4 linked regions of the Alligator mississippiensis genome follow. The protein of the gene in region 2 purifies or fractionates together with the protein of the main gene of each other region. This does not show direct contact. Links are inferred from orthologs where the notes say so. Each region holds a gene or a part of one and is shown on either strand. Other genes may lie near its edges.

Region 1 (6,730 bases), on a different chromosome or scaffold from region 2:
CAGGAGGCCCCGGCCCACGCGCAGGCCCCAGCGCATGGACGCGGCCCCGAGCAGCCGCCGGCACCTAGCCGGGCGCGGGCGGGAGCCAGTTAGCGGGGTCACCTCGAGGGGGCAGCGAGGAGAGCACCAAGCGTCCGGGCCCCAAGAGCCGCCCTCCCCCGAGCCGAGAAAGATCCCAGCAGTCCGGTCCGGCCTTGCGCCCCGGACCTCCCCCGTCCCCGCCCCCGGCGTAGGCCGCCCCGCCCCCTCCCCTGCTATTGGCCAACGAAGATGCCACTCGAGGACGGGGAGGGCCTCGATTGGCCAAAGGCGCGCTCGGAGAACTGCGCTCCCGGAAGGCTGAACCAGCGAACTGGGAAATCACCCCCCCGCCCCGGAGGAATAGATCGGCCCGGCGTGGAGAGCGCCCCGGTACAGGGTTTCCGCAGGGTCCCGGCGCCTCCTACTCCACGCTGGACACGGGTGGGGGGCGTGCCCACGGAACCCACAGACGAGACTGCCACATCCAACCTGCTTTATTGGAGATGGGCTCCGGCCGGGGTGACCACAGATCCTGCGCTGGCACCACGGGGCAGGCAGGGACACTGCACTGGGCTGCTTGTCCTGTTCAGCTCCCAGCCTGGCTGGAGGTAGCACTACGCCCGCAGGGGGCAAGAGGCCGTATTTCCCCCCCCCCCAGCTCTCTGCACTGATGATAGGCAAGTGGTTGCACTCCTGGCTGAAGATAGGGTCCAGGGTGGCAGGGGTAGGGGTGGCAGTGCCATGTCTGTGCTGACAGCAGGCATGGTGCACCCCCAGCCTGAGTCAGAGCCCGGGGTAGCAGCGCAGAGCTGTGCCCCCCCACCGTCACCAGGTGTCCTCTACAGTTGCACCCCTCGGCAGGCAGGAATCGTAGGTGTCATGGAGCCAAGTCCTCCTCCACCAGCCCTGCTAGTCAGGCCAGTCAGGCTGGCACTTCCTCGGCTGCGGACACCAGCCTCAGACAGCGTTTCTGAGCAATGTCTCCAAACACTGAGGACAGGGAAGAGGAGCAGGGAAGGTGCTTTCCAGCAAGAGCCGTGGCAAAGGGAGAGGCAGCGCACTGGGGCAGAGGCATCACTTCTCCGGCTTCTTCGGCAGCGGGCGGCGGAACAGCAGGATATGCGGCTCTGCGGGGAGAAGCAGCATCAGGACCGCGCGGAAATGACTCGCAGACCACACGGGGCAGCCTCTTGCTGCCCAGCATCTGCCCACCTGCCCAGGGAGGAGACGCCTGAGCCCAGCCATGGGCAGAGCCAGGCGAATGGACATGGAGCACCTGGCCCAGCCCACCCCAGTGGCTCACCAGGCTCGTGGATCATGTAGTGCACCCAGCCCTGGCTCTGCTGCACACCCAGGTTGCGCCACTCTGACTCCGACATCAGGTGCGTCCGGGGCACCAGCTTCGCGATGTCCTTGGGCAGCATCACGTGCCTGCAACGGGAGCCACAGCGTCATCACGGCGTGCCCGCACCTGGCCCGGACCCCAAGAGAGGGGCCGAAGGCGTCATCACCGCGCACCAGAACTTTGCAGGGGTCGCAGACCACGGGAGGGGGGGAGCAGTTGGCGTCATCACTATGCGCCGGCACCGAGCAGGGATCAAAGACACCAGGAAAGGGAATGATGGCGCCATCACCACGCGCCGGCACCGAATAGGGGTGGGGGATAGAGCCCAGGAGAGGGGGTGGTGGTGTCACGGGGTCGGCGAGCCCAGGAAAGGGGGTGATGGCGTCATCCCCGCGCGCCGGCAACGGGCGCAGACCCCGGCGGGGGAAGGGGACGGCCGCCCACTCTCACCGGTACTCGAACTCCTCGTCGTCGTACTTATCCGAGTAGTAGATCTGCTTGTGCGCCATGCTGGCCTGCGGGTCCACCCCCTTCCCGACAGCCCTCGCGCGCCCGGCAGTTGCAGGCGGGCCCCGCCCCCAACCGCCGCTTTCAAACGCCGCCGCCCCGCGCGCCCATTGGCCCGGGCGGCGCGAGCAGAGCAAGCCCCGCTCCCCCGGGGCTCCTCGGGAGGTGATTGGTCCGGCTTCACTTCCTCGGTTCGCTCAGTGGCCAGCGCCGCGCACGGGGGGCGGGCACCCCTGCAAGGGCGCTCATTGGTCCAGGTGGCCGTGGCCCGTGGGGGCTCCCTCGTCACGTGACGGGGTCGTTGAGGCCGCGCTGCGGGAGTGGGGCCGGAAGTGGGTGGCGGGGCCCGGGCAAGTGGGTGCCGGAGCCGTGGGAGCGCAGCGGGCGCGAGGCCCCATGGTGCCCCGGTGAGTGCCGCCGCCCGGGCCCCGCGTCCTGCCGGGCCCCCCGAGATCCCCCCAGGCCCGTTCCTGCTGAGACCTCCTGGGGCTCAATCCTACCATGACCACCCCCCCGGGCCGGATCCTGCCGGGTTCCCCCGGGGTCTCCCTTCCCTCTCCGCGACCCCGGGCCGGCCCCGACCCTGTCCCCTGACCCCCTTACCGGCCGTATCCTGTCCATGCCCCCATCCTGCCCCCACATCACGTGTGGGCTCTTGGCCCCCTCCCCGCGGGCCCGTTTCTGCTCAGACCTGCTCCTCCGCCAGCCCCATCCGGGCCCCTCTGTCTCCCTCGGCCGCCCCCTCTCCCCCTGCGTGCGCTTGCTTGCCCTTGGACTCGCCCGGATGCCCCAATTTCCTGCCCCCCCACGACCGCCCCCCAGGCCTGCTCCCGGCATCCCTGGACAGACGGAGACACCAGGAGCTGGTGCACAGTGCTCAGGGCTGCCCATCCATGTCCAGTGCTGAGACGTCCCGGGTGGCGCAGGCGGGTGCCATGGGGCAGGCGGGAAGGGGAGGCAGGGCCAGCGCCTCCCAGCTGCTGGTGCCGCTGAGCCAGGTGTGGGGCCGTGAGCGGGCGCGAGGACAGCTCTGGCCCCGGGGGTCCCAAGTGGGAGTGTGTGCAGGAGGGACAAGGGTGGTCAAACAGTCCCATCCGAGTAATCGGTGATGCGAGGAGGCCGGGGACAGTGGGGGTGTCCTTCCCTCCCTCCCTGGCCGGGCTTCGTCCCGATCACGGCTTCCTCTGGCAGTTTCCCCAGCTCCTTTCCAGCGGGACAGGAAGCAGGACCGGGGTGGCCTGGGCTGCGCCTTCACCTCCCCCCCCCCCTCCCCCGGCTGGGAGCATTCCTGGTGCGACTCCATTTCCTGTTGTTTCCCAGCAGCCTCCTCCCCCAGCCCCAGGCGCTCTCCTGCCTGCTCTGGCAGGCGCCGCATCCGCTCCCTCCCGCTGTCCCCTTAGCACTGGGGCAGGTTGGGGGAGCAGCCCCCCCCCCCAGCTGGAGGGGGTCTGGGCAGTGCTGGGGGGGGCTTGCTCTCGCCCCAGTGCTGCAGGTTCTTGCACCTCCATGGGGGTGAGCGGTCCTACCAAATCACACCTAGGCCGTAGCTGCTCCCTGAGTTGTGTGGGACCCAGGTGTCTCCAGCCCGTGGCCCAGGAAGGACACATTTGTCCCTGAGTTGCTCGTGGTTCTGTCAGTGCGATGCTGGGGGCCAGGGTACCAGAGATCTCTGTCAGGCTGCGGCGTGAGCAAGCCTGTGGGGGGCTGTGACTAAAGGCTGCAGCAACATGGGGCATCTCTTGCCTGCATCAGTCAGCAGCTGAGTTGGCTGTTGTTGCCTCTGGGGCTTAAGGTACAGGAACCTGGAGCAGGAAATAATAAAGGTCTCTTCTCGTGCCTGTAGTAGACATGCTGGTCGTCACCTCCACGGGCAGGGAGCTGCCAGACCTGCATGGGAGGTGCTCGGTTCTGCTGGGCTGGCAGGGAGGCACTGAGCGTGACCCGGAGATGCACGGCTCCCACCTCCTATGCGTCGGGGAGCTGTGGTGCGCCTTGGGCATGTGCTACCCCTCCTGCGGGATGTAGCAGCCAGTCCATGTTCAGGCCCGGCTGTGGGTGTGGGGCCCCTTTCCCACGCAGCCCCTGCCCGTGGCCCTGCCTGGGAGCTTCCTGCCTCTTGTGGTTGTCTTCAGCCCAGTGCTGCATAACCAGCAGCTTCGGCACCAGCGCTTGTGGCAGGCACGCATGTCATGAGTCACCACGGTGCGGGCACCGTTGCTAGGGGCATTTAGCACCCAGCTGCTTGCTTTGTGGAGCCTCCTCTCGCATGTATTTTAAGAGTCTCCCTGGGGTGCGGTGGCAGGATGTGCAGGGAGGAAAGGCTCTGATAGTGCAGCACCAAGCTCGGGGTGCCTCAGCCCCTGCAGCGAGCTGCGTGGGGGTTCTGGGATTGCTCTGGGCAGCTTGAAGGGGCTCAGGAGGCTGCTGTTAGCCTGGGGAGCTGCATGCAGCCAAGGAGGTAGTGCATAGCATAACCATGGCTGCTGTGGCCCAAGGCTGCCATGGAGAAGCTGCAGGCATCTGTGATGCATGGCTGCAGGGCGGGGGCTGCCTGCTGGCTGCCCAGCCCAAATCTGTCCTCTGCTTGCGACCGGGGTCATCAGGTCTCGTCGCAGGCTTGTGGGGAACAGATGCGTGAGCCCCAGCCACACTGCTTGGCCGACTCTGCCTGACCTGGCAGCCATTGCTGCAGTCTGGTGGTGCCATCCATGCCCAGCAGGGTCTGCAGTTGGCAGAGCAAGCGGGAACCACGCCCAGGCACCAAGGGGCCCGTGGGGAGGCAGGGGAGGTGGATCGCAGCACGTGCTAGGGTCCTGCGGGCTACCCCTCAAGCCCTTCTGCCCGCGCAGGCCCCACGCTGCCACAGCTCACTAATGGGCTGGGCTGCTGGGCTGAGCACAGCGAGCGCTGCCTTTCTCCTTGGATTTGTTATGCTCCTCAGGTGGCCTTGGGGGGCTGGGATTCCCAGGTGCTCTGAATGGTATGCACCTGGGGCTGCCATGCAGGGGATCATGTCAGGGCTGCTGCAGTGCCCATGCCACACAGGTGGTTTGTGATGCAACCACTGTGAGGAGCACAGCAGCTCCCACCTCCACCGGGCATCACGCTTAGCTCAGGGCCCTGGTGCCCAGCTGGAGCTGGCATGGGCACGAGCCTGTCTGTGTTTTGGGGTGTCTTCACGGTGGGGTGTGGGCACTGGTCTCGGTGGCAGCCCAGGAGATAGGGTGTTGTTCTGCTTGCCCAGCCTGTCATGATTACTGCCTGGGCAGGGAAAGGTCATGTTATCACAGCTCCTTTGCTGCCATGGGGCCTGGCCAGGCCCTGCCTGTGCAGGTCTGTGGGGCCAGGGCCAGACAGGCTCTTTATCTCTTGCCTCTGGGTGAATCACGTCACTCCAGCTTTGCAGGCCCCAGATAAGGGCACAGTCCTACGAGGAAGTAAATCATGTTTGTTTCCCGCTCTGGGCTGGCGTTGTTCTCCGTGCCAAGCCTGATGGCTCCGGAGAGGGGATGGGAGCAGGGCGGGGGGGCTGCAAGGAGCTGGGCCCCTTCCTCTTGCTTTGTTCTTTGGGCAGGAGCTGTCTCCGCCCTTGTTCCACACAGCTGTGGCTGTCCCCTGCGTGGCCTCCCTCCCCTGGGTCCAGCCAGCCCCCGGCTCCAGCTGGCAAGCTCCTTGCTGCTGGAGCTGCCCTGGCCCTGAGCAGAGTTAGGACCTCGAATGCTGCTTTGGCAACAGAGGGGTGGCAAGTGTCCATGGGGCTGTGGGGGCTCCCAAGCTCACAACTCCAGGTGCTGCCCTGAATCCCACTCACGGAGCAGGGTCTTGGGGTTCAGCCACCACTGCTCCTGCCTTCCCTGGGGAGGCACCGGAGGATGGGCGATGGTGGGCCCTGGGAGGTCCTGGTCCCCACAGTCCAGGAGGTCACCGGGGACTGAAAGCTCATCTCTTGAGCTTGGCTTCTGAGCTGGGCACGTGCCCTGAGGAACCAGGAAGGAGTCCCCAGGCCATCGGGGCTGGAGCACCAGACAGGGGAGGCAGGGCTGCTGCTACCCTGGTGACTCCCAGCAATGGGGCCAGGCTCACAGGACGGCGTTCAAGGCACACTGGAGATCCCGAGACTTATCCCATGTGCAACCTGCCCCGGGCCTCATGCATCACAGCCTCCTGCCCACACAGGATCTGAATGAGGTCCCTGCTCCCCCTGTGTCGCAGAGGACAGCCATGTCACCCGAGGCCAGGCAGGGCAGGCCTGGCCAGGCAGCAGGAGCAATGCCTGCGGAAGCAGGTCAGGCAGGGCCTTCTCCAGGCGAGCAGAAGGGCAGAGGGGATGTGCCAGGCCTGCCAGGCCCCTTGGACAGGGCGGCGCTGGCTAATTCCCTGTTTGTCACCGAATGCAGGTGGGACGCCAGGAGGACAGGGGCTGTTGGTACCTGTAGCCTGTGTGGGGCCCAGCCCAGCAGCTGAGATGGAGTACGTGGTAAGGACGGCCAGGCTGGGCTGCGGTGGAGGGTGCCTGGCTTTGGTGACGGGTTGCCTGCCTTCTCTCACTCCTCTCCTTTCTCTCTGGTGAGGCGAGTGGGTCTGCAACCAGCCGGGCTCCTTTCCACGTCCCCGCCGGTCCCTCCTCTCCTCTCCTCTCCGCCGGATCCGAGCCTCTGCCTGCTTCTTTGGGGCTGTTGTGTGGTTGGCGGTGCCCCAGCACCCTGGTTCAGGGGGCGCACAAGGTCTCTGCAGTGCTGTGAACAGCTCTGGGGCATGACTTGGCCACTGTGCTCCTCATCCTGTACTGTGTCACTTGGGGCTGAGCATTGCTGCTCCGGCACCTCCCCAGGACATGACTTGTGCTGTGGCCGCCTA
Region 2 (7,729 bases):
ACAATACTTTGTTTGTCACATTTTTCTTTACAATCTTCTCTGCTGTTTTTATGAAATGCCCACTGAAACAAAAGCAAGGCCCTGGCTGTTCCCAGCTTGTGTTCATAAATCCTATTAGTACAAGCACAAAGCTTGGTAGGAATGGAGTTCAGTTGATTGAGTGTAACAAAGCAGTAAACGATTATATAGTGTCCTGGCAGTTGTACCAAATGATGAGAAAACAAAAACATGTTTCACAGTTCTTTAATTTTGAATTGATTTTGGGATTTAAAAAAACAAACAGATAAACTATTTCCAGTTGTTTAGTTGGTGACATTTTCTGATAACTAGAATAAATTTGAAGGGGAAATATCCCTGCCAAGGCATTTGGGGTGTTGTATAGTGTTTAAAATGTCTTTACTCTTCTGTAGACAAGGTTCCTTGGGTGAATCTGATATCTTTTATTAGACCAACCCAAATAGTTGGAGAATAGTTATTAAGCAAGCTTTCAGGTTCAAAAACCCTTCTTCAGGCTAAGGAAGTTTCAGGAGCTGGTGTGTGCTCTTCCTGGATGGAATGAAAAGTATCTTCCTGGATACTAAAAATCACGGACTAAATACAGACATTGGATTTATGACACATTATAACCTGCCTGACATCTGACTCCCCAGGTATCTCTCCACTATTCATCCCCCTTCTCTTCCCGCCCCCCGCCTGTCTCTCACCCATTGACTCCTCAGTCTACATTTTCACTGACTACCCGTCTTGTATGCATACCAGCCCAGCCCCTGGCTTCTTTACTTTTCATTCCATCCAGAAAGAGCACACACCAACTGCTGAAGCTTCCTTAGCCTGACGAAGGGTTTTTGAACCCGAAAGCTTGCTTAATAACTATTCTCCAACTATTTGTGTTGGTCTAATAAAAGATATCAGATTCACCCAAGGAACCTTGTCTGCCTATGTCCTTCGACCAACACGGCTACAACCTACACCCTTTACTCTTCTGTAATATACTTAGTAAAACCCAGTCAGTTCTAAAAAAGATGAATTCAACCTTAGTATTTTTCAGATGCCAAAATGCTAGGATCTTTTACTTTTGTTTTGTTCACTGTTTATCCTTGTGCTCTACATTCTGGGAAAAGGAATAGTTCAAGAGCCAAATAGAAAATGATTAACTGATTATCTTGCAAGACTTCTACAAACAGAATAGTTGTGCCTGCATTGAAACTCACCCCCAAGATGGAAGAGTCCAGTTATGTTCTCACAAAACAAGAGATCTCAAGGGAAAACCCTGGTAGTTGATATCGAGTCTTTAATGACAATTAAGCTGGGCTGCTCAGCTGGAAGGCATCAGAAGCTATCCATCAGTGCTTTGGGCTCACTGCTGTCAAGAGTGCTGATCCTGCAGTGGTGTGGGGGAGGGGGCATGCACCCAGTGCAGCAGTGGAGGAGGATGCATGGGGACGAGGTATTGGAGCGCTATGCAGTAGCAGCATTGTTGATGTGGCCTCTAGTGCAGCCCACAGTGTTCAGGCCCCAGCTGCTGAAAGGATGGGCTGACCTGATCTACAGTTTCCAACACTGCAGCTCGCTGCATTTGTATTTTCCCGTAAGATCTACCATCCAGTATGATTCATCTTAACACTTAGGTTTGACAGTATAATTTGCAGGGCTCTGAACTATGCTGTTATTTCTTCATCTTCACAGAAAAAATGCGTTGTGTTTGATCTTTATATAATCTAAATTGTGTTGGACAAGGAAGCCCAGCTTACGTGTGTCTGTAGAGTAGTTGGCTTTTGATCTAGCAGAAAATAGATCCTTTTTTCTTGCAGTGAATTATGGTGATGATTAAATAAAGAGGCACAGAAATACGAACTAAAATTATTGTGCACTCCCCTCCCCGCAAAAGAAGCTAGCCAGTTGGTGGAGCGGGTAATAATGGAATTGGCAATAGCCTGTTGCCTATAATGGTATATCCCTTCAGTCTTCAGACAAAGCAGAAGAACATGATCCTTCGAGGTGTGAAACACCCAAACTCTGATCTTGAAAAATAGTTACATGCTTTGCTGAATTGTAGCCTTAATGCACATACTTAAAGTTCATCTGTTTTGAGCAAAGCACTTGAGTATGTGTTTTCATTTGAAGGCAGTGAAATGTACGTGTGTGTCTAAATGCTTTGTTCACTAGGGGTGAATAGCCTTTTGTTGGGTGGGCCAAAGTCATCAGCACCTTCCAGGATCAAATCTGTAATGCTTTAACTCTGGTTGCTGTCACTGGGAATGAATGGTAAAACATCAAAGGAGGGAAAGGACTTGACATTTTGAAGTTAGTGGAAGTTTTGAGCTAGATCCACAGAAGAACATTAAGTGCCCACATCCAAAGTTTAGATCGTCAAAACCTGCTCAACTATCACCTAGCCCTGGAGGCAGCTAAAATGTTTCCTAAGTACTCAGATATTTCAAGGGTGTTAGCACTGTTAGGTCTGCAAACACGATTCACAGCGTAAACTCAGAGATTTCAAACAGGAGTCCACGGTGCTAGAAGAATTCTGATCTGTTGCAGTCTTTCTGATTCCTCTGCAACAGAAGGATTGTCCAATTGTTTTTCCAAAGTAAAAATAAGTGAGTGAATACTAAGAGCTGGCCTTTTCTGAGGGGTGCCTTGAGTCTAAAAAGGTTAAGAATCAACTGTACTACCCACTGGAAGAAGCAGTGCTAGATGTGACAGAATCCAAGTCATTTTGTGACTCTAAACCCTTGTCTATAGTTTGGGCTCTAAGTCTTTCCAGATCCAGCCCTAATCAGCAACAAACAAAGGTCATTAGCATCTAAAAGTTGGTTGCTGTATGAAAGAGCTGTATGATTGCTCAGGGCTCCAGACTTGGGCCTGCACGTAAGATGGCTGCCAATGGATTTGGAAGCATCTGAAGCCCCCGGATGAGGTGGAGGATACTTGCTGGTAGCAGGGCTACATATGGTTCTTGCACGATTCAAATGAATTTGGATCTGATCTGGGTAATTTGACTTGGGACGTGAAAAATTTCCTTAAAAAAAGACTTCTCTTTGCAAACAATTAGCTCTGTACCTTTCACACAAGCACTAGGTTAACATTAAATGTTTTTAATGGTTCTCTAACCTACCATCTAATGTTTCTCTCGCATAGTCTCTCTAGCATACTCCAATATCCCTATGGATTTCAAAACAATAATGCCCAAAGTGTCCTGATCTTTACAAACATGGTTGTTTCTTTTTTAAAGATCCTATTCCCCATGATTTATGACCTAAAATACACTATTCACCTTATCAGTCAAGGTCTGAGATTTCTTAGTATGGAGAAACCTGGGAAAGGATGTTGGCGTAGCCCTCCCTGGGGTGAAGGGTTACAGTGAATCGAGGCCTGAAAGCTCTGTGCCCTTGTAACAAGGCCATGTGTCACTGGAGGGGGGAGGGAAGCAACAGGTGCCTCAGGTTAGTTCTGGGTCCCTGGTGTAAAAAAGTGCTAGTGGATGAGTGGCCACATGCATCAGTGACATGCGGCTAGCCCTGGGCCAGTCTGCTAAAGTGGTGTTGCAGCAGCATTGCCAGGTCTTAAATATGAAATTATCATATTGGAAGCTCAGAATTATTGCATTTATTGAGAAACTATAATTCACTGAAAAAATGTGCAAATGAATATGCAGGTAAGTCTTATTTACTTTATATTGCTCACAGTATGTCACCAGTGAGTGAGAATTGTGTCAAAGTTGAAGCATCTCTATTTTGAGATGTCATAGCAAGTGCTGACAGCAACCCTAGAGGCCTCTTGAAGGCTTAGATCAAGTGTAGTGGCTTAACCTGGCAGGGAAAATACCATGCATCTGTGTCCATGAAGGCATTTTCCTGAACTGCTACACAAGAGAACTGCCCTTCTGGCGTGGTTGCAGTGGCTTTAAGCCCAGTTTATGGAAATAGGAGTCTCCTCCCTTGCTTGCTGGGGGGGCCTTATGGCTGACAGCAAGTGAAACTTGGGGGCATCTGAACCCCAAGCCTCTGGGCTTGGGCTGGCAAGTAGGATGCCCTCCAAAGGTTTTGGAAACATCTGAAGCCCCAGGTGCGGGTGGAGGATGTTTGCCCGTAGGGGGGCGATTTCTGATTCTGGACTGACTCAGATTTGGAATTGATTTGGCTTGGAACATGAAACATTGTCTCCCCCCCAAAAAAAGACACGGACATACAGTTTTTGAATGATTTAAAGGCTTCAGAACTGATCTGGCTAATTAGACCTGGACCATGAACCTCCCCCCCCCCAAAAAACAAACACCAAACCGCTAGAAGCCAGTTAAAAGTTCCTGGTTTTGCATATGCTACATTAATTAGCCGCCTCAAGCATTATCCTACGGGGTAGTGGTAGAAGGGGTGAAGTTATGGTACAAATGCAGTAATTCTCCTACACCGGCAACACCGCGTCTCCGGCCCTAAGAGGGAGCCTCGCAGGGCCGGGGCAAGCAAAGAGCAAGCCCGCACCGCTGCGCGCTCCAGAGCCGGGACTCAAACGCCGAGGCCTCGCGCGGCTAGTGACTCAGGTGCCTGGGGGCAGAGCCCCGGCACTACGCAGCCGCCATGGGTGGGGCTACGGCGCCGCTCTAGCAGGACCCGCTCACTCCTAGGGCGCGCTTGATCCTCGGCGGCTTCCGTCGCCCCCAGTCACGGCCGGCGCCCGGCCAGCCCCGCCCCCCGTCCCTCATTGGCGGATTCAAGAGTCGCGGGCTCCTTGAACGCGGCGGCGGAGCGGGAGGCGGCCGGGTACGCTCCGGACGAGGCCGCACGGCGCCCCTTGCGCCCCCCACCTGCGGCAGGATGTTGGACGAGCTGGACCCGGAGCAGGAGCAGGAGAACGTGCCCCCCGTGGGCAAGGCGCTGCCGCCCGCCGTGCCCCGCAGCCGCACGGTGCTGGGGGTGCTGCGCGAGAACCGCCCGCGCCCGCAGGCAAGGGGGGCGCCACGGGGCGGGGGGGCCGCGGGGGGGCGGTGGTGACGGCCCGCCGGCGCTAACGTGCGTTGCCCCCCGCAGGCGGTCGCGGCGGCGGCGGCGGGCCCGTCGCGCAAGGGCGATGGCGGGGCCCGGGCGGTCCGCGCGCCGCAGCCCTTCGCCGTGCACGTGGACGAGCCGGACGGGGGGCGGCGCGGCCGGGTGGGGGCCGCCAAGCGCGCCGGGCCCGCACTGCCCGTCGCGGGGCTCCCCACCGACAGGAAGCCGCTGGTGCCGCTCGACACCGCCATGGACCTCAGCTGCGGTGAGTGCGGGGCGGGGCCGGCCCGGGCGGCACCTCCTCCTCTCCCCCCCCCAAGCAGGTGCTGGGGGCGGGGGGAGCTGTTCTGCCCCCGAGGGAAGGGGACCTGACTTGTGGAAATCTGGCTCTGGCTGGCGCCCCCTATCGCCCCCCCCCCCCCAGGCGCAGGTCAGATTAGGGGGTGCCCACCCAGGACGGGAGGGGGCAGGAACTGCATTTGCTCCAGCCCAGACTTGTAGCCCCCTGCTTTGGGCAGGACTGTCCCTCTCTCCACGGTCCTAGGACGGCATCTGGGGAAGCAAACTCGGGTTCACAAAAGCTTGTGCTCTGGCTTGCTCACATCCTCCTGCTTGCACTCCTGTTCTCGCTCTCAGGCTGTGCAGGTGCAGGTCGGCCCTGACTTCAGGCTACCATGGCTAAACCCCCTCAAACCATCCTTGACAAAGATTAGGATCTTGGGGCTCTTCTACATGTGTTGGGGGAGCTGCACTTTGTGGCTCTGAGAGCTGCTCTAACTAAAGCACCACAAACTTTCATGTATCGGTGTCCCTGCACTTAAAAATGGCAGCAGGAGCACTTGAATTTAAAGCACTTTTAAGTGCAGGGACACTGATGTACAAGATGCAGGAGGCTGCTAGAGCACAGCTGTTGCTGTATTCCAGCAGACTCTATTAATTGAGTCGGTTCCAGCACATCGGAGCAGCCTCTACACTTGTGTAGGTGCCTACAGGGAACTAGGGCTAGAAGGAGCTTCACCACGTCCTTTGGTCCAGTCCTTTGCTCCAAGCAGGACCATCCCTCTGAAGCACCCTACGACAGCATTTGATGACATGAACTTGGGTTCACAAAAGCTTGCTTTCACTTTCTCTTTTCCCTGCTTCCTTTCCCCTGCCCCCTAAAAATCTTATTTGGCGTATAAGGCGAGGTACAGACACTGCACATAAACTGGTACAAATGATCAGAAAACGGTGTAAAGCTGTAATAGAAGTTTAGCATGTGCAAACCGGTTTCAAACTGGGGGGGACTTGGTCTAAGATAGATCTGGATAGATGCTGTATTAGATTTAATCAGTTTAGGATAGAGCAGGATTTCGAACTTCTGTCCCAGATCCTGCAGCAAATTGTCTGCTTTGGCTGTCCTCCATGGGTGAGCACTATTCTACAACCTAAATATCCTCTTTTTAACTGATATTCCAAGTGTCCCTAAAGTCATTGTTCTTCATTGGTGTCTTATGAAAAGCTAACTTATGAAAATGTTGCTTGTGCATCTGCATGCGACTCAGACCAGCTTTGGGGATTCCCTGAGTCCAGCAGTTCCTTTAGCCTGTAACTTACAAGCTTTGAATCCCTGAAACAGCCAGATATCCCTTCCCTGTGCCTTACCCATCTGCTTTCCCATGAATTTCCTCACTCTTCTTGCTACTGTTACTTATGAGCTGCTGGCCCTCTTGAACTCTCAGCCTTGTCAGGGTCTGGCTGTAGCAGCTCAGAGCTTCAAACTCTGAAAGGCTTTAAAGACCTAGTGCAAGTTGCAAAAACTAGAATACACACTGGAAACTTCCATTTGTGCAAGTACTAAATGGTTCTGGCAAGTTGACTAGAAAACTAGGGTAGCTCAGGTAGACACTAAAATAACATAAGGCAAGAGAAGTCCAACAGTCTGCCCAATTAAAAAATTCTGGCAGAAGACTTCTCAGTTGCCTAATTTTGTGGCTTCAGCTAAAATACATGCTAACATCAGGCTGTCCCCTGACTTGCAGGCTCCACTTCAGAGTACAGGTCCATACTCCTATGAAGATAGCTTACTATGCTAGTATGAAGCGTCTTCCACCAATTTTTCTTTCTCCCACCCCATAGATGAAAAAGCCCTTTGCAACAAAGCCCATAGTTGAAAAAGCCCTTTGCAACATTTCTCTGTTCTTAGTGCAGCCTAGGTGGCTCAAAAAAGGCAAAATGCCAAAAACAAAAAAAACCCTAGGTCCTGGGTCACCAACATAATCGTTCTGCTCAATGCAGTCACTGTACCATGCGGTCTGAGAACTTCTGTAGGTTTAATGTGACTACTGTCTTGCACTTAGATTCTCCAAGTATTATGGATATATCTATAATCCAAGATGTGGAAGAAAGAGTAAATGTTAATCATGTGCCAGACTACATTGATGATATCCATAAATACATTAGGGAAATGGAGGTAAGATGCCATGATTTTGTTTAAACTTTTAAGGCAGCTTAGCTCAGGATGGTGAGGCTTGTGGGTCTAGTCCCTGGAGGGGTGGCAGCTCAAGTAGGAGCTTATAATTGGAGAACAGACTGAGGGGAAAGGGGAAGAAAAGTGAGCTTCCTGTTGAGCCCTTCTAGAATAAAAAAACCTGGCTGGAATATGCACTGAACATAAAAGAAAGGGCTTGAGAATGGACTCTGAAGGACCTTGGGCACCAGTATTTGGATTCTACTTTACGTATAGTACAAGTATTTAATTTGTA
Region 3 (7,277 bases), about 75 Mb from region 2:
GCTACTTGAAGAATTTTCCCCTGCCTACCACTAATATGCACTTCTAATAGAGCCTCTGTTAAAGCTGCATATTGTACTCTGGGGCAAGCTGTATGCAAAATATGGTAAATGTCACTAATGGAGTAAAAGTAGATTAACTTATGAATTACGAAACTAATTTAAATATCGCATGTACTTAATCTTTTTTGTTTTTCTTTTTCATTTAGCTTTTTTGTGACCACACTTTTGAATGGTAGCTTCAGTTAATTGTGTTTCTGTGTGCATTTACCCTATTGTACAATTTACTATACTCTGACAATGTATTTGTGATTTGATTTTGCAGAGCTGAAGGAAAGCAAAGGCAAATGAAAAACAAGAAGCTAAAAATGGGTACCATTAAAAAACCATCTGTGAAGCAGAGGAAAATGAGAGTCTTGAAAGGAAAAATAAAAAACAAGAAAGAGTGAATCACTCTTTCTTCTTGGCATCTAGTTACTCAAGATTTTTGCAGCCAGTCTTTGATTTCATTTACAGCAAATGTTAGTATGATCTTTCAGAATAAAATCTAGTTGAATTGGAAATTATTTCCCCTTATATAATTACCTTTAGAGTTTCAATGGCACTGGGACAAAAGCTTGTTACTCTGTTCATGAACTATTTCAAATGAGAGAGAAAATAACTTATATATGTCAGCCCATACTGCGCAAAACTTATAAGTGGAAATAATATTATAAAATACCACTAAAATAAAGGGACAGAAGTTATAGTAGTTTTGGTTAGTTTGGTATTGCCCACTGTTTAGGGGGAAAAAAGACCAATATATTTGTAATGCTGTCTGTTACAAACATCGTTCCACTTCACCCCCACATGCTCACTCTTAAAACCCACCATCCAGCATGGTCATGTAGATAACAAATGTTATATAATCCTTTTGCTAGTTATCCACTTGTTTGCTGGTTTTGTCTCTGCAGGCCTGGAAACGAGTATGTTGGAAGTTCCAGATAAATTAGGACTTAAGTATATGTTTATATCCATAGTGGCTACATTTAGAAAGATAATAGGAACACAGGACATTCCTGCCCAGATTTTATAATACTTTATTATAAGCTGAACCAAATGTCTTTATTTATTTTCATTTATGAAGATAATTTTAATAACTAAACTTTAACTTGTAATCTTTTCACTGGCTAGTGGTGATGGAGGCTGAGCTTCAAGGCCAGCTTGCCCAAATTATTCTTGATGTTGTCCTAAATGTGTGAATGTCATGTAAAAACAAAATGAAAACAAACTAAATAATAAATAAAATGCAATGACAAGAATGTATTTTATAACTATAGGTTTTTTAATTCAAACCAAACATGTTACAGTACTTAGCTACAACAAACTCCTACCTGCCAAGCCACAGTACACAGCCTTTCAGAGAAATACTTAATTTTTTTAAGGAATGTACCAAGAGCAGTTCCTCTACTAATTTTCAGACCTAGGTCATCTTGCTGTTTCTTGGATACTGTGATTGAAACATATATGAAATGAATAGAGAAAAAATAGTCATAACTAAGATGACTCTTTAAGACTCAGTGAATTTCATGTCAACTGTGTTCTATTTATAATTTTAAAAGATGATGTAGTGCAATTGCTGCAGATTCATTGGAGGGGTGTTTTTCTCTTTTGTATATCTTCACCAGCATTAAAGGTATTTTACTATTATTGGTATTAATAATAATTCAGTTAGTCATGAATAAGTGAAACATCCATTTTATTACTTCAGACCTGTATTGGCTCTTTAGGACTGAAACGTTAGGAAGACCTGGTAGATAACTGTGTACTCTATTTTATGTTTCCATGTCATATTTTCTTAGTTTCGGGTGCCCAGCCACCTTCCCCCAGTACCACCAGGTACACCCCCTCCCATCCCCCTCCACACCACACATCCCTGCCCCTCCAACCCCCACTACCCGTAGACTTACCTGCATCCAGCTGCCATCACTGTGCCGACCACCCTGTCTGGCTCTATGCTGGCCACACATGGCTCTATGCTGTGTGCATGTGTCTCCAGTCATTCCAAGCAGGTCCTTGTAGGCTGGATGGCTGCTAGCCTGCAAGGGGAAAAGCCTAGGTTTCTCTAAAAAGGAAAATCCAGGTTTTTCCACAGCACATGGAAAACCTGGATCTCTAGTAAACAAATGCTACAAGGGCAAGCTGGGAAATGCAGTTCTACCAGCACTGATGTTGAAAAAGGACTAGCAGAGCACAATCCCAGACATTTGTTCATATTTGAAAAAAACGCCTGAGCGGAGATCGAAGGATCCAAAAAGAAGACGTCCAGGAAAACCCGAATATGTGGACTCTCCCACCCCCTGCCACTGTATTGTCTACACCCCCACTGTCTCCCCTGTTGCCTGACCCCTACAAGTCCTGCTACCATTGCTTTTCATGTTGCAGTGGTGGGGATGAATTTAAGATGATCCTCCAATAATTATATTTTATACAGGGAAAATTATAACCCATTTATACGTTTTCTGTGTATAGAACCTAAATTGGGGGGGAGGGGGAGTCACCTCAAATTCAATGTGAACTTGAATTTGGGTAAATGCCACATGCCTTCATCCTATTCTCTTCCCAGTAGTGAAAAGAGGTTCCAACTTTTTGCTGCTTTAGACAAAGGTAAATACATACTCAAAAAACAGGAATTGCACCAGAAGGGACTGTAGACCACGCTGAGGACAATTTGTCATCCTAATCAATACATGCAACAGCATAGTTTGGTGTCTGCACTGAGCCAGTGCCGCATGTGATCTTACTACTACAAAATGCTGGAAGATCAAAAAATACAATATCAATTTTTGTAAAACATTTTACACAAGACTTGAACCATCCAAAGTTGTGCATGTGTCTGTGTCTGAATGTGCACATATGTCTCTCAGATAAGGTTCTTTGGGTTAATACATCTTTTATTAGATGAACTCAATCAGAAAAATTGTTCTTTGCAAGCTTTTGGGCACAAACACCCTTCTTTGGGTATAGAGAGAGTCTGCTGGTGTTTTGTGTCCAGGGTAGAACAGAAGCCAATATGCAAAATTGAGGTCAGTGAAAATGCAAACGTGTTAGTGAGGATCCAAGGTGATAGGAGACGATAGGTGTCGGACAGGTAGGTGGTGGGGAGGGGAAGAGGGAAATGTTGACTGCTGCTAGTAAAATGTAGAGAGGTTATGAGATGGCAGGTAGGTTATAATGTGCCATCAATCCAATGTCTGTATTTAGTCCAGGGTTCAATCCAACCAGGAATAGCACACACCAACTGCAGAGGCTTCCTCAGCCTGATGAAGGGTTTTTAAACCCAAAAGTTTGCTAAAAAATTTGTCCCAACTATTTAAGTTGGTCTAATAAAAGATACACCCAAAGAACCTTGTCTGCCTATATTTAGTCCATTATTTTTTCTATCCAGTCATTCATGAAGTTCACTGGCTCCTCTGCCAAAGGTGCTTTGTAAATTCCCTTTGAGGACTAGAAGTGAGAGATTGGAGAGGGAGCAGGTGTCTTGCGAGATGTGCGCACCCACAGGTCCTTGGGTATTTTTGTCTTTGACAGATTTCCGCTGTGTTTCATTCTGGAGCTCAGTTGTTTGGTTGCTCCTGCATATTGTCTGTCCGGCCTTCAGCGCACTGGGTGAGGTGTTACATTTCTGGAGGCGTAGGCGTTAAGTTTTGCAACTGTCTGTGTATAAGTGTATGGGGACTTAGTGGGAGAGGCGATCTCTTTTATTAGACCAACTAGATTTTTGCAAAAAAGCCCCACCAAAATCTTTCATTGCAAACTTTTGGGCACAAACACCCTTCTTCAGGCATAGGAGAAAAGACTGTACAAGTTCTCCTGGGGAGAAACGAAAGTTGGTATTCCATAGGAGAGTTGAAGGTGTGCAACAGGGTTTGGTTGCAGCGCTGTCGGGCTCAGGACAGGGCAGACGAGGTTCTTGGGGTGAATGTGATATCTTTTATTAGACCAGCTTCAAGAGTTAGGGAAAAATTTTGTTTAGCAAGCGTCCGGGTTTTGCTCAGATGAACTGCTGCTGTTTGCAACGGTTCATTTTATGTGCAGGGCCCTGGAGCGAGCAGCCAGGTCCCGCAGCCGGCCGGGGCCCGGGAGCGGCTTTCCCAGGCGGCTCCCGCGTCGCCGAGCAGGCAGAGCCCGGAGCCAGCTCCGCCCGCTGGAAGCGGAGCCCCGGGGACACGCGCTCGGGGCGGGGCCGGGAAGCACCGCCTCTGGGGGCGGGGGCGGTGCGGGGCGCGGGGCGGAGCGGAGCGGAGCGGAGGGGAGCAGGCGGGCAGGCCGCCATCATGCCCGCCTTCCGTCAGGTGGGCGAGAAGCAGCTGCCGCAGGAGGTGGCGCTCATGGCCTGGTCCCCCAAGCGGGACCTCATCGCGCTCGCCAACCGCGCCGGGGAGGTAAGCACGGCCACAAGCCCCCTCCCTGCCCTGGCGCCTGGTCCTCACCCGGCTCCAGCCCAGCACAGCCTCAGCTCGCGGGCTGCGGCCTCTGTCGCCACGGGCCGGGCCGGGCCGTGCTCTGCTCAGCCGCGGACTGCAGCCGGGGAGGGGCGAGGAGGCTGCGCGTGAGGGAAGCGGCTGCAGGGGGAAGTGGCGGGTGCAGGGCGGGCAGCTCCGACCCTGGGCCACAGCAGCCGCCTGCCCCGCCACTACCCGTGTTAAATGTTGGGGAGGGGGTCATCTTCGTCTGCAGGCAGTACAGCGCGTGGGGCCACGGTGTCGGCTGACAGGAGAGCGTCTCTTCAGGTTCACCTTCCTGGACCTGCTAGGGACTAGTGCTGCCCAGCAGGGTGTCCAACTTGGCCTGTGATTTCACCCATGTGTCAAAGTTCATCTCCACGTGAAGTTTTGAGACAAGAAATACAAAAAACTTGAGCTCTTGGTTCCAAAATGATACCTTTCATTAGACCAACTGGGCGCTGAAAGCAAACAGTGCTGTGGCGGCACTGGAGCCAGCGGTCCCCAGGCTCTGACGGGTTGCGCACCACCAATTTAAAACGATACAATCTTAAGTACCACCGGCAAGTTTTTGTCATATAAAGGAATTATAATAAACCTGTTAATGCGTACCACTGACACATTGTCTGCGTACTGCTGGTGGTACCCGTACCACAGATTGGGAACCATTGTTTTAACTTAATTTTCTAGATGATCATAGAAAAATAGAGGGACCTCAGTAGACCATGCAGTTCAACCTGTTGCTCAGGGCAGGATAGTGCCAGGCAAATGTTTGTCAGCCTGAAGTGAAAAGGCCTCCACTGCAGAGATCTAGCCTCTCTGTGATTGTTCCAATGCCTACCCATTTTCATGGTTATAAAGTTTTCCCTTGAATTCAACTTACATTTTCTTGGTTTCAGTTTAAGCTCATTGCTTCCTGTCCTGTGATATATAGACACCGGGGAGTAATTGTCATTCCCTAATTGACTTACATACAGCTCTCCTTTTAATACAACCCATTACTGCAGGGAGAGGGGGTTGCAGCAGTAACACTGTTGACTCGAACTTCTGATCCAGGCTGAAGTACTTCAGGAAAGGCCGTGACTCCCTGTGTTGTATTTGTGCACTTGACTCTCCCAACCTACATTTAGTTCTTTGTACTTGTTCTCACTGAATTTGTTCCAGTTTATTTCAGGACTTTTGTTCCAACTGAGCAAGGCTATTTTGAATCTTAATTCTGTCCTTCAAAGTGCTTAAGTCCCACCCAGCTTGGTGGCATCTGTAACTGTACAAATGTACATTCAGTCCTGCCCTCTGTGTCATTAATAAAGAGACTGAACAGTACTGGACCCAGGACAGACCCTTGGGAAACACCACTTGATTCCTTTTTCAATTTTGGTTTAGAACCACTGATTATTGTTCTTCATAGATTTCATAGACATTAGGGCTGGAAGGGACCTTGGGAGATCATCAAGTCCAGTCCTGTGTCCCGGGGCAGGAAGTCAGCTCGGGTCAAAAAAACCCAGCAAGATAAATGTCCAAATGTCTCTTAAAGGAGTCCAGAGTAGGTGCTTGCACCACCTCTAGTGGCAGCCTGCTCCAGGCCTTGCGGGTCTCGGGCAGTAAAGAAGTTCTTCCTTATGTCCAGCCTGAAGTGGTCTTGGAGGAGTTTGTGACGGTTTGACCTTGTCATCCCTTGGGGCACTCTGGTGAACAGGCATTCCCCCAGATCTTGAGCCTGCGCTTTTCCAGGTTGAAGAGTCCCATGGTTCACAGCCTCTCTTCATAAGGCCTGTTCTCTTGCCCTCTAATCATGTGTGTGGCTCTCCTCCGGACTCTCTAGCTTTTCCACATCCTTTTAATACTGTGGAGCCCAGAATTGGATGCAATATTCCAGCAAGTACTTCTTAATCATGATTATCTAACCAGTTATACATCCATCTTGTATTTAGTTTACGTATGAGCTTGTTGTGGATGATGGTGTCCAGCACCTTATTAACACTGAGCTTTATCAAACCCTCTGCTGCCCCCACCCCCCTTTCCCCTGTCTACAGGTCCCATCACTTTATTAAGGAATTATTTTCTGTGAACAGATCTATGGTGGCTATTACTTATCTTGTTATCCCCCAGGTAATTACAAATTAATTATTTGAAGATAACCTCCAGTATCATAAAATTTAGATTGACTGGTCTGTAGTTCCCAGAATTTCTTTCACTTTTTTAAAAGATAGGCACCATATTTTTCCGTTTTTGGGGGGGCTCACTTGATTGTCATGAATTCTGAAAGACGACAGTTACTTCACCCATTTCCTTAAATGCTTTAGGAGGGATGTCATCAGGCCTAATAGCTTATCTAACTTGTCATTTTAGCTGCTTCTTCCCCATCTCCTTTCATCTCCACTTACCCTTGCTCCTCCACTTTCTAAGCTAATCATGTAATCATCTGACAGTTGACCTCTGTGATTATATTCTTGGGCATCCAAGGATAGGATGTTCAACTGTAATGTTTCCATACTACAGTTTCTATCTAAGTTGGAATGGAAGCTCTCATTTTGATTACAGTCTTCAAGACTACATACACAGCACAGTTTACTTTCATTGCTTCATAGTAAAGAGTATGCTCTCAAACTATGGAAAATAACTGGACTTTTGATAGGAACACTCAGGATACAGTGTGCCTACTGGATACAGGATTTGTTTTAGCCCAATAGAAAGTGATTCTTTAGTTGCTGGATTACAAGATTCAGTTAAAGGAAAAATGTGCTTTCTTTGACTAAATTTAAGCTTTTTTTTTTCAGGTTTTACTTCACCGACTAG
Region 4 (6,902 bases), on a different chromosome or scaffold from region 2:
GGGGACAAGGCTCCTTGGCCACCTGGGTCCCCATCTCCGCCCAGATGCCCAGGTTCCATGCCCAGTGGGTGGAGCCCCCAGGGAGCGGGGGAGCCCGGACACTTGGGTTCTATCCGCTGCCCCCCACCCCTCCCCCTTGTGTCCCCATCAGGTGGTTCAGGACAGGCAACGTTCAGGGCACAGCCTGCCGGGTTGGAGGGTAAGGGCTGGGGAGGGGCCACCCGGATGCCTGGGTCTCCTGCCCCCTGTGGGATGGGCAGGCACTTGAACATCAGTGGCTCCTGATTCCCCCCACCCTGCCCCGGGATGCCTGGGTCCCATATCCCCACTGATCCCTTCTCTCTCCCCACTGCAGCCAATGGCAACGGACTGGGATACCTGAATGGGGGAGATCTCCAGGCCAATGGAATGGCTCCAGGCAAGACCTGCCCTGGGTGCCCCCAGGGTGCTGGGAGATGGGAGCAGGGCCAGGAGGACTTGGCAATGGGGAAACCATAGAGATGGAGGAAAGAGAAACCAGAGTGGGCAAAGTGCCAACAGGGCTGGGCAGAGCTATGAAGCCCCCCGGTGGCGGAGGGTGGGGCTGCGCCCACCCCTGGAGCAGCCAGATCGACCTGGCCTCCTGCCCCATAGTGCCTTCCAGCCTGTGCTTCTGCTTCACACTGCCCTCCAGCCTGTGCTTGTGCCCCATAAAATGCCCCCCCACCTATGCTTCTGCCCCACACTGCCCTCCAGCCTGTGCTACTGGCCCTCAACCTTTGCTTTTGCCCCATAAAATGTCCCCCCATCCTGTGCTTCTGCCCCACAGCAACCCTCTCCCTTGCCCTTTCAGGTGCCTACGGACCCATCTCCGTGGGGCCGGCCCTTGGTGGGTATGGCCCGGTGCCTGCTGCCCTCGCCCCAGGGGCATATGGTAGGCGGGGGTGCTGTGTCCCTTGGTGGGTGTGGCTAGGGCCCGCTACTGCCACAGGAGACGGACGATTCTCCCCTCCCCACTTCCCCAGGGCAAGACGGGGGGGTGACGGGAGCTTTCCCTCTCATAGGTGGGAAGGAGTTCAAGTATGGCCTAAACGGCTTCCTGGGCAATGGCTACCGAGGTGAGGAGCAGGGCCCCCATCCTGTCGGACCCCAGACTAAGATTGGGGGGTGCTGGGTGCTGTATGGACCCCCCTAGACTCTATCACACTGGCCTCTGTGTGTCCCAGATGCCTGTGTGTGTGCGTGCGCGTGTGTGTGCACGTGTAGGTGTTTCCCAGATACCTGGGTCCACTTTGGATCCACATATCCCAGATGCCTGGGTTTTGAGTGTGTGTGTGTATGTGTGTGTGTGTGTAAGCATACATACACGTATTTATCCTGAATACCAGGGAGGGTGTGTTCCAGATGCCTGGGTCCTAAGGGTATGTGTATGTGTCCTGGACACCTAGGTCTTGCGTGTGTGTATGTGCATGTATATCTTGGATGCCTGGGTCCTGTGTGCGTGTCCCAGCTCCTGTGTGTGACTGTGCATATTTTTGTGTGTCCTAGATACCTAGGTTGTGTGTGTGTTTCTGTGTGTTCTGGATACCTACATCCTCTGTGCGTGTGTGTGTGTGTGTGTATGTAACCTTACCTCCTATCCAGCGCTGATCCCTGCTCTCTCTCCGCTCAGCCCGCTGCCCAGCTGGGAAGTGTTGAGTCCTGGGTGCCAGTTGTTTGCCGCAGGGGGACCCACCTTGCCACATCTGGTGCTACGTGTGGTGCTACGAGGGAAAGAAATTATCCCGCTATAACTTATCGTCTCGTTGGGATTTTTTAATGGATTCTTACATGTTAAAAACCTGCAATTTTGGGGGGTTTGTCATCCTAGGCTTGTCACCCCCCCCTCCGCCCTCTGGGGAAAAAGGGGTGTCCACAAGGGAGTAGGAAGTGTGTTGCGGGTACCTGTATCTGCCCCCTCTCTGCTGACAGCAGGAGGTGAGTGTGTCGGCAATAAAAAGCCCCTCAAAGAGCTTGTGTCTTGAAAGATTTGTTTCCAGATGTGCGGGGTAGGGGGGTGTCCTGGGCATCTGAGTTGTGTGTGAAAATGTGTGTGTGACACCTGGGTTCTGTGTGTATGTCCTGGACACCTAGGCTGTGTGGGTGAGAATGTGTGTGCGCATCAGACCGCTGGGGGGGTGCAGACGTCAGACACCTGAGAGGGGGGAATGTGTGTGTACATATTAGACACATGGTGGGGTGCGCATCAGACACTCGGGGGGGGGGTGTGCATCAGACACCTGGGTTGTGCGTGCATATATCAGACTCTTGCAGGGGGGGTGTTTGTGTCAGACACCTGGGTTGTGCGTGTGTGTGTGTCAGATGCCTGGGGGGGGGGGTGCCGGACACCTGGGTGCTGTGTGTGAATATGCGTGTCCCCCCTGGATACCTAGGTTGTATGTGTGAGAATGTGTATTTGTGTGCACTTGAGTTATGGGGGGGGTGGGGGTGGAAGACACCTGGTATCTGTGTATGTGTGTGTCCCGGACATCGGAGGGGGGGGGTGTCCAACAATTGGGTTCTGTATGTGTGTATATCTGAGACACCTGGGATGTATGTGTGTGTGTGTGCATTTGTGCGTGTCCCAGACATGGGGTGTATGTGCGTCCACACCTTGGTTGTGTATGCATATTTGTGTGTGTGTCTAGCAACTAGGTTGTGTGTGTGTATGTGTTCGTCCCAGACACCTGTATGTATATCCTAGACACTTGCATTCTGTGTGTGTGTGTGTGTGTGTGTGTTCCTTGGACACCTAGGGTCTGTGTGTCTGACACTTGGGTGTTGTGTGTGTGTCATGTGCCCAGACTGCTGGGTTGGGGGGGGGGGGATGGTTGAGCACTGCTGCCCCCTGCTGGAGGAGACTGAGGCAAGCGTGTTTGGTGTTCTACACGCTTGGGTTGTGCATATTGGGGGGGGGGTGTCCTGGACACCTGTGTGCATGTGTGTCCATCCAACAACAGGGTTGTGTGTGTGTGTGGGTGGGTGGGAAGGGCGGGTTGTTTCCAGACACCTGGGTTCTGTGTGTGTGTGTGTGTGTGTGTGTGTGTGTGTGCGCGCGCACATGTGCACATCATACACTATGGAGGCTCTCCTTCACACTTCGCGGTCCACCTCCCACTGCCCAGACCCCGCCCCGCCCCCCCGGGCTAAGATGGGCAGCCCCTCGCATCTGGACCCCACTGAATTACCCTGAGACCGAGATTGGGGCCGCGCCAGGCCCTGTACGTCCAGCGCTGTCTGCACCTCTCGGCGATGGGCAGTGTCCCTCGTGCCCCCCTCTGGGGGTGATGCATCGGGGGTGAACTCAGTTCAGGGCACCCTTGGGGGGGGCGGTGGAGGGGCTGGGGGTAACTCACGGCTGCCCCTTATATAAAGGGTGAAGGGGGCACCCCAAAAGCAAGGGTTGTGGGGCCCTGGCCCCTCCCTAGGGAGTAGAAGGGCTGCCTTCGGGGGCCTCACCCCTCGTTTTGGCGGGGTGAAGGGGGCATCCCTGGGGGGCTGACTTCATTGGGCGGCATTTCTGAGGGGATTTGGGGGTAAAGGGATGTGTCTGAGGGGATTTGGGGGGCATGTCTGAGGGGATTTGGCAGGGTAGAGGGGCATTTCCGAGGCGGGGGGGGGGGCGCTTTGGTTTGGCCACGCTTTGGTTGCCCCAGAGGATGCTGGGAACCCTCGCGGCCCCCTTCCATCCCTTTAAAGCGGGGAGTTGGCTCTGATTGACAGCCGCCCGGGCGAGCGGGGCGGGGCACGAGGCGCCCCCTGATTGGCTAATCCTGAGGCGCGCAGTCGGGGGGCGGTGCCGGGGGAGGCAGCCAGGTGGGGCGATGTGGGCGGTGCCTGGGCTCGGATTGGCTGAGGGGGCGCGGGCGGGGCGGCAGTTGGAGGCAAGGCGGGAAAGGACGGGGGAGCCCGCGCGCGGGAACGGGTGAGGGGGAGGGGGGCGTGCTGCCCTCCCGCGCGGGGGACCCGCCACATCCGGGCCCTGGAGGTGAGCCCCGCCCCGCCCCGCCCCGCCCCTGCCCCCCCAGCCCCTCATGCCACGGGGCTGCCTCTCTTCCTCTCCCGCCAGCGCCCTCCTGCTCATGCCAAGGAGTGCAGCCCCAGCCTGCCCCTCACCCCTAGTGCAGGGGCCCAGGCTCCCCAGTCACGTGGGCGCCCGGAGTAGGCCATGCGCCTGCTCGTGCGGAGGGGAGCAGGTGCGGGCGCGGGGCGCTAACCATGTTGCTAACCATGTCTCCTCTTTCTTGCCCCGGCCAGCGCTGACGCCATGCCGGTGCCCCCGGACGAGGCGGGCCCCGAGCCCCGGCTGAGCCGCACGCCCCTGCCCGTGCCGGCCTTCTTCCGCGAGGCCGAGGGCAGCTTCTCAGCCAAGAGGCCCCAGCGGGCGTCGGGCTACTCCCTCCCGTCCCGGCCGCGCCACAAAGTGCCCCCGACCGTGAGCCGCGTCTTCCCCGGCTGCCAGCCCCAGCCCTGGAGCCAGCCGCGGGCCCGCCTCGTGTGGTGCCGGGGGGCCCCCGGGCAGGCCGCGCCCCCCGCGGACCTGCTGTACGACCCCGCCAAGCGGGAGTCTTTCTTGCGCCAGTGCTTCCAGGTGCTGGGCCACCTAGGCCGCGGCTCCTTTGGCGAGGTCTACAAGGTAGGGGGGCGGGGGGAGGAGCGCTGGGGCGTGGCGGGACGTGTGGGCTGGCCGGGGCAGGAGCGCAGGGGTCCGGGTGCCCAGGCTGCCCCTCGCTTTCCCCCAGGTGCGGAGCCGAGCGGACGGGCGCTTGTACGCGGTGAAGCGGTCGGTGGAGCCCTTCCGGGGGGCGGCCGACCGGCACCGCAAACTGGCGGAGGCGCGGCGGCACGGGCGCGTGGGGCGCCACCCCAACTGCCTGGGCCTGGCGCGGGCCTGGGAGGAGCGGGGCCAGCTCTACCTGCAGACGGAGCTGTGCCCGGGCAGCCTGCTGCAGCACTGCGAGGCCCGCGGGCAGCCCCCGCCTGAGCGCCGCGTCCGCGCCTGGCTCTGGGACCTGCTGCGGGCGCTGCAGCACGTGCGTGTCTGTGGCCTGGTCCACTTGGACGTCAAGCCGGCCAACGTCTTCCTCACGGCCCGCGGCGTGTGCAAGCTGGGCGACTTTGGCCTGGCCCTCGAGCTGGGCCAGGCCGAGCCGGGCGAAGCGCAGGAGGGCGACCCTCGCTACATGGCGCCCGAGCTGCTGTGTGGGGATTACAGCCCTGCCGCCGACGTCTTCAGGTTAGGGCCCCGGCGTCCCGGTGCCCGACTTCCCCCTGCCCCCGCTCCCACCCCACCCTCTTCTGACTGACCAGGCACGCTCCCATTGGGTGTTGTGGGCTGCAGCCACCTGGGCGGGGCAGTTGCCTGGGGTGGGAGGGGTCAGTTGCCCATCTTGCCTCCCCCACTCGTGACTCTTGCCCCCTACCGCCAGCCTGGGCATGACCATCCTGGAGGTCGCCTGCAACCTGGAGCTGCCCACAGGGGGTGAGGCCTGGCAGCAGCTGCGGCAGGGATACTTGCCCCCTGAGTTCACAGCTGGTACGTCTGGGGAAGGGCCTGGATGCCGGGGCTCCACCCCAGCTCCGGGGGGACGGGGAGCAAGGGGAGCTGGAAGCCAGGATCCTGGGGTTCTCTGGGTAAGGGCTGGGGTCTGGGGAGGGTTGGAGTGGGTAAGTCTGGGAGCTGGGGATGCCTGTGTTTGTGGGGGGCAGAGGGGAGTATGGTGAGTTGGAGGTCCAGGTGGGTAGTGTGGCCTGGTGGGGAGAAGCAGGGGGTGCTGGGAGCCCGGATGCCTGGGTCCTCCCCTGGTCCAAGGGTGCCTGGGGCCGGGACACCGCAGAGGTCTTCCTTATCATCTCCTCTTCCCCCCCACCCCCACCCAGGCCTGTCACTGGAGCTGCAGGCCCTGTTGGCTGCCATGCTGGAGCCTGACCCCCGGCTCCGCCCTTCAGCGGAGACCCTTCTGGAGTCTGACCTCATGCGCTGCACAGGCCGCTGGCGCCGCCTCGCTCTGCTGGCTGAAGCTGGGCTGGAGTGGGGCGCTGTGCTGCTCCAGGTCAGTGCCCCCCTGCTTCTTGCCTCCTGTGCTCTTTGCCTCCTGCCCCACTTAATCTCCCCCCTTCTCCCTGCCCACCCACAGGGGCTGATGAGCTTGCTGTGGGGGGTCTGCCTGGCACTGTGCAGTCTCGCCCACTGGCGCCAGGGCCCCCCGACCACCCCGCCCCGCTCCCCGCTGCTCCCTGCCTACGGCAGCTTCTCCAGCGACTGGGAGGAGGACGAGGACGATGAAGGTGGGACGGGCAGCCTGGCCCTGGAGGTGTTCCAGTTGTCGGGGAGCTCCAGGGATAGCTCCCTCCAGGACAGGTGAGTGGTGGGGGGCCATGCCTGGGTCCCTACCTGCCCCCAGCCCCTTTCACTCTGCCTGGGAGCCTGGGCGCCTGGGTTCTCTGGGAAGAGAGTGGGAGGGAGCTGGGAGCGCACGTGCCTGGAGTCTTTGAGAGTTGAGTGGAGGCAACTGGGGAAGGGAGTTGGGGCTTGTGGGGGAACTGGGGGGGGGGATGGAAGCCCGGACACCTGGGTTCTTTGGGAGAGGAGCAGCATCTAGCGGGGTAGAGCAGTGGGACTGGATGCCTGAGTTCTCTGGCATGCGAGAGGGGGCTGGCAGATTGGAGCACCAGGGGCTGGAAGCCCAGGCACCTGGGTTCTTGGTGGGGTGGGGGGGGAGGAGTGGCACCTGCTGGGGTAGACCTGGAGGGGCTGAGAGCCTGGATGCCTGGGTTCTGTCCCAACTCTGGGAGGGGAGTGGGGTGCGATGGGGTAGAGCTGGGAGCCCGGACACCTGGGTCCTCCCCCCCGTCTCTGAAACCTCTCTGCTTCTCCCCTTCCT

What was found.
Region 1: the proteins of CCNA2 (region 2) and CKS1B purify together in Homo sapiens (affinity purification with western blotting; 7 studies listed by BioGRID and IntAct, counting the BioPlex papers as one, with this or other methods). This does not show direct contact. The link is inferred for Alligator mississippiensis from reciprocal best matches to the Homo sapiens genes CCNA2 and CKS1B.
Region 3: the proteins of CCNA2 (region 2) and ANAPC4 purify together in Homo sapiens (affinity purification with western blotting; 3 studies listed by BioGRID). This does not show direct contact. The link is inferred for Alligator mississippiensis from reciprocal best matches to the Homo sapiens genes CCNA2 and ANAPC4.
Region 4: the proteins of CCNA2 (region 2) and PKMYT1 purify together in Homo sapiens (affinity purification with mass spectrometry; 3 studies listed by BioGRID and IntAct, counting the BioPlex papers as one, with this or other methods). This does not show direct contact. The link is inferred for Alligator mississippiensis from reciprocal best matches to the Homo sapiens genes CCNA2 and PKMYT1.

What each region holds. Positions count from the first base shown.
Region 1 is NC_081838.1:12,771,015-12,777,744, forward strand, and holds CKS1B (cyclin-dependent kinases regulatory subunit 1), read right to left. Parts: upstream 2,083-6,730; 5' UTR 1,876-2,082; coding exon 1,817-1,875; intron 1,453-1,816; coding exon 1,325-1,452; intron 1,149-1,324; coding exon 1,096-1,148; 3' UTR 501-1,095; downstream 1-500. Other genes in the region: FLAD1 (FAD synthase), read right to left, coding at 1-36.
Region 2 is NC_081825.1:114,577,778-114,585,506, reverse strand, and holds the start of CCNA2 (cyclin-A2), read left to right. Parts: upstream 1-4,719; 5' UTR 4,720-4,814; coding exon 4,815-4,943; intron 4,944-5,027; coding exon 5,028-5,250; intron 5,251-7,324; coding exon 7,325-7,437; intron 7,438-7,729. UniProt on the Homo sapiens protein: Cyclin which controls both the G1/S and the G2/M transition phases of the cell cycle. Functions through the formation of specific serine/threonine protein kinase holoenzyme complexes with the cyclin-dependent protein kinases CDK1 or CDK2.
Region 3 is NC_081825.1:39,477,499-39,484,775, forward strand, and holds the start of ANAPC4 (anaphase-promoting complex subunit 4), read left to right. Parts: upstream 1-4,277; 5' UTR 4,278-4,313; coding exon 4,314-4,421; intron 4,422-7,258; coding exon 7,259-7,277. Other genes in the region: rRNA N6-adenosine-methyltransferase ZCCHC4, read left to right, coding at 323-446. UniProt on the Homo sapiens protein: Component of the anaphase promoting complex/cyclosome (APC/C), a cell cycle-regulated E3 ubiquitin ligase that controls progression through mitosis and the G1 phase of the cell cycle.
Region 4 is NC_081830.1:725,382-732,283, forward strand, and holds the start of PKMYT1 (membrane-associated tyrosine- and threonine-specific cdc2-inhibitory kinase), read left to right. Parts: upstream 1-3,901; 5' UTR 3,902-4,006; intron 4,007-4,041; exon of another isoform or gene 4,042-4,275; 5' UTR 4,276-4,285; coding exon 4,286-4,654; intron 4,655-4,760; coding exon 4,761-5,254; intron 5,255-5,447; coding exon 5,448-5,554; intron 5,555-5,898; coding exon 5,899-6,071; intron 6,072-6,155; coding exon 6,156-6,379; intron 6,380-6,902. Other genes in the region: GREP1 (glycine-rich extracellular protein 1), read left to right, coding at 152-199, 356-418, 833-913, 1,005-1,097, 1,652-1,677. UniProt on the Homo sapiens protein: Acts as a negative regulator of entry into mitosis (G2 to M transition) by phosphorylation of the CDK1 kinase specifically when CDK1 is complexed to cyclins. Mediates phosphorylation of CDK1 predominantly on 'Thr-14'. Also involved in Golgi fragmentation.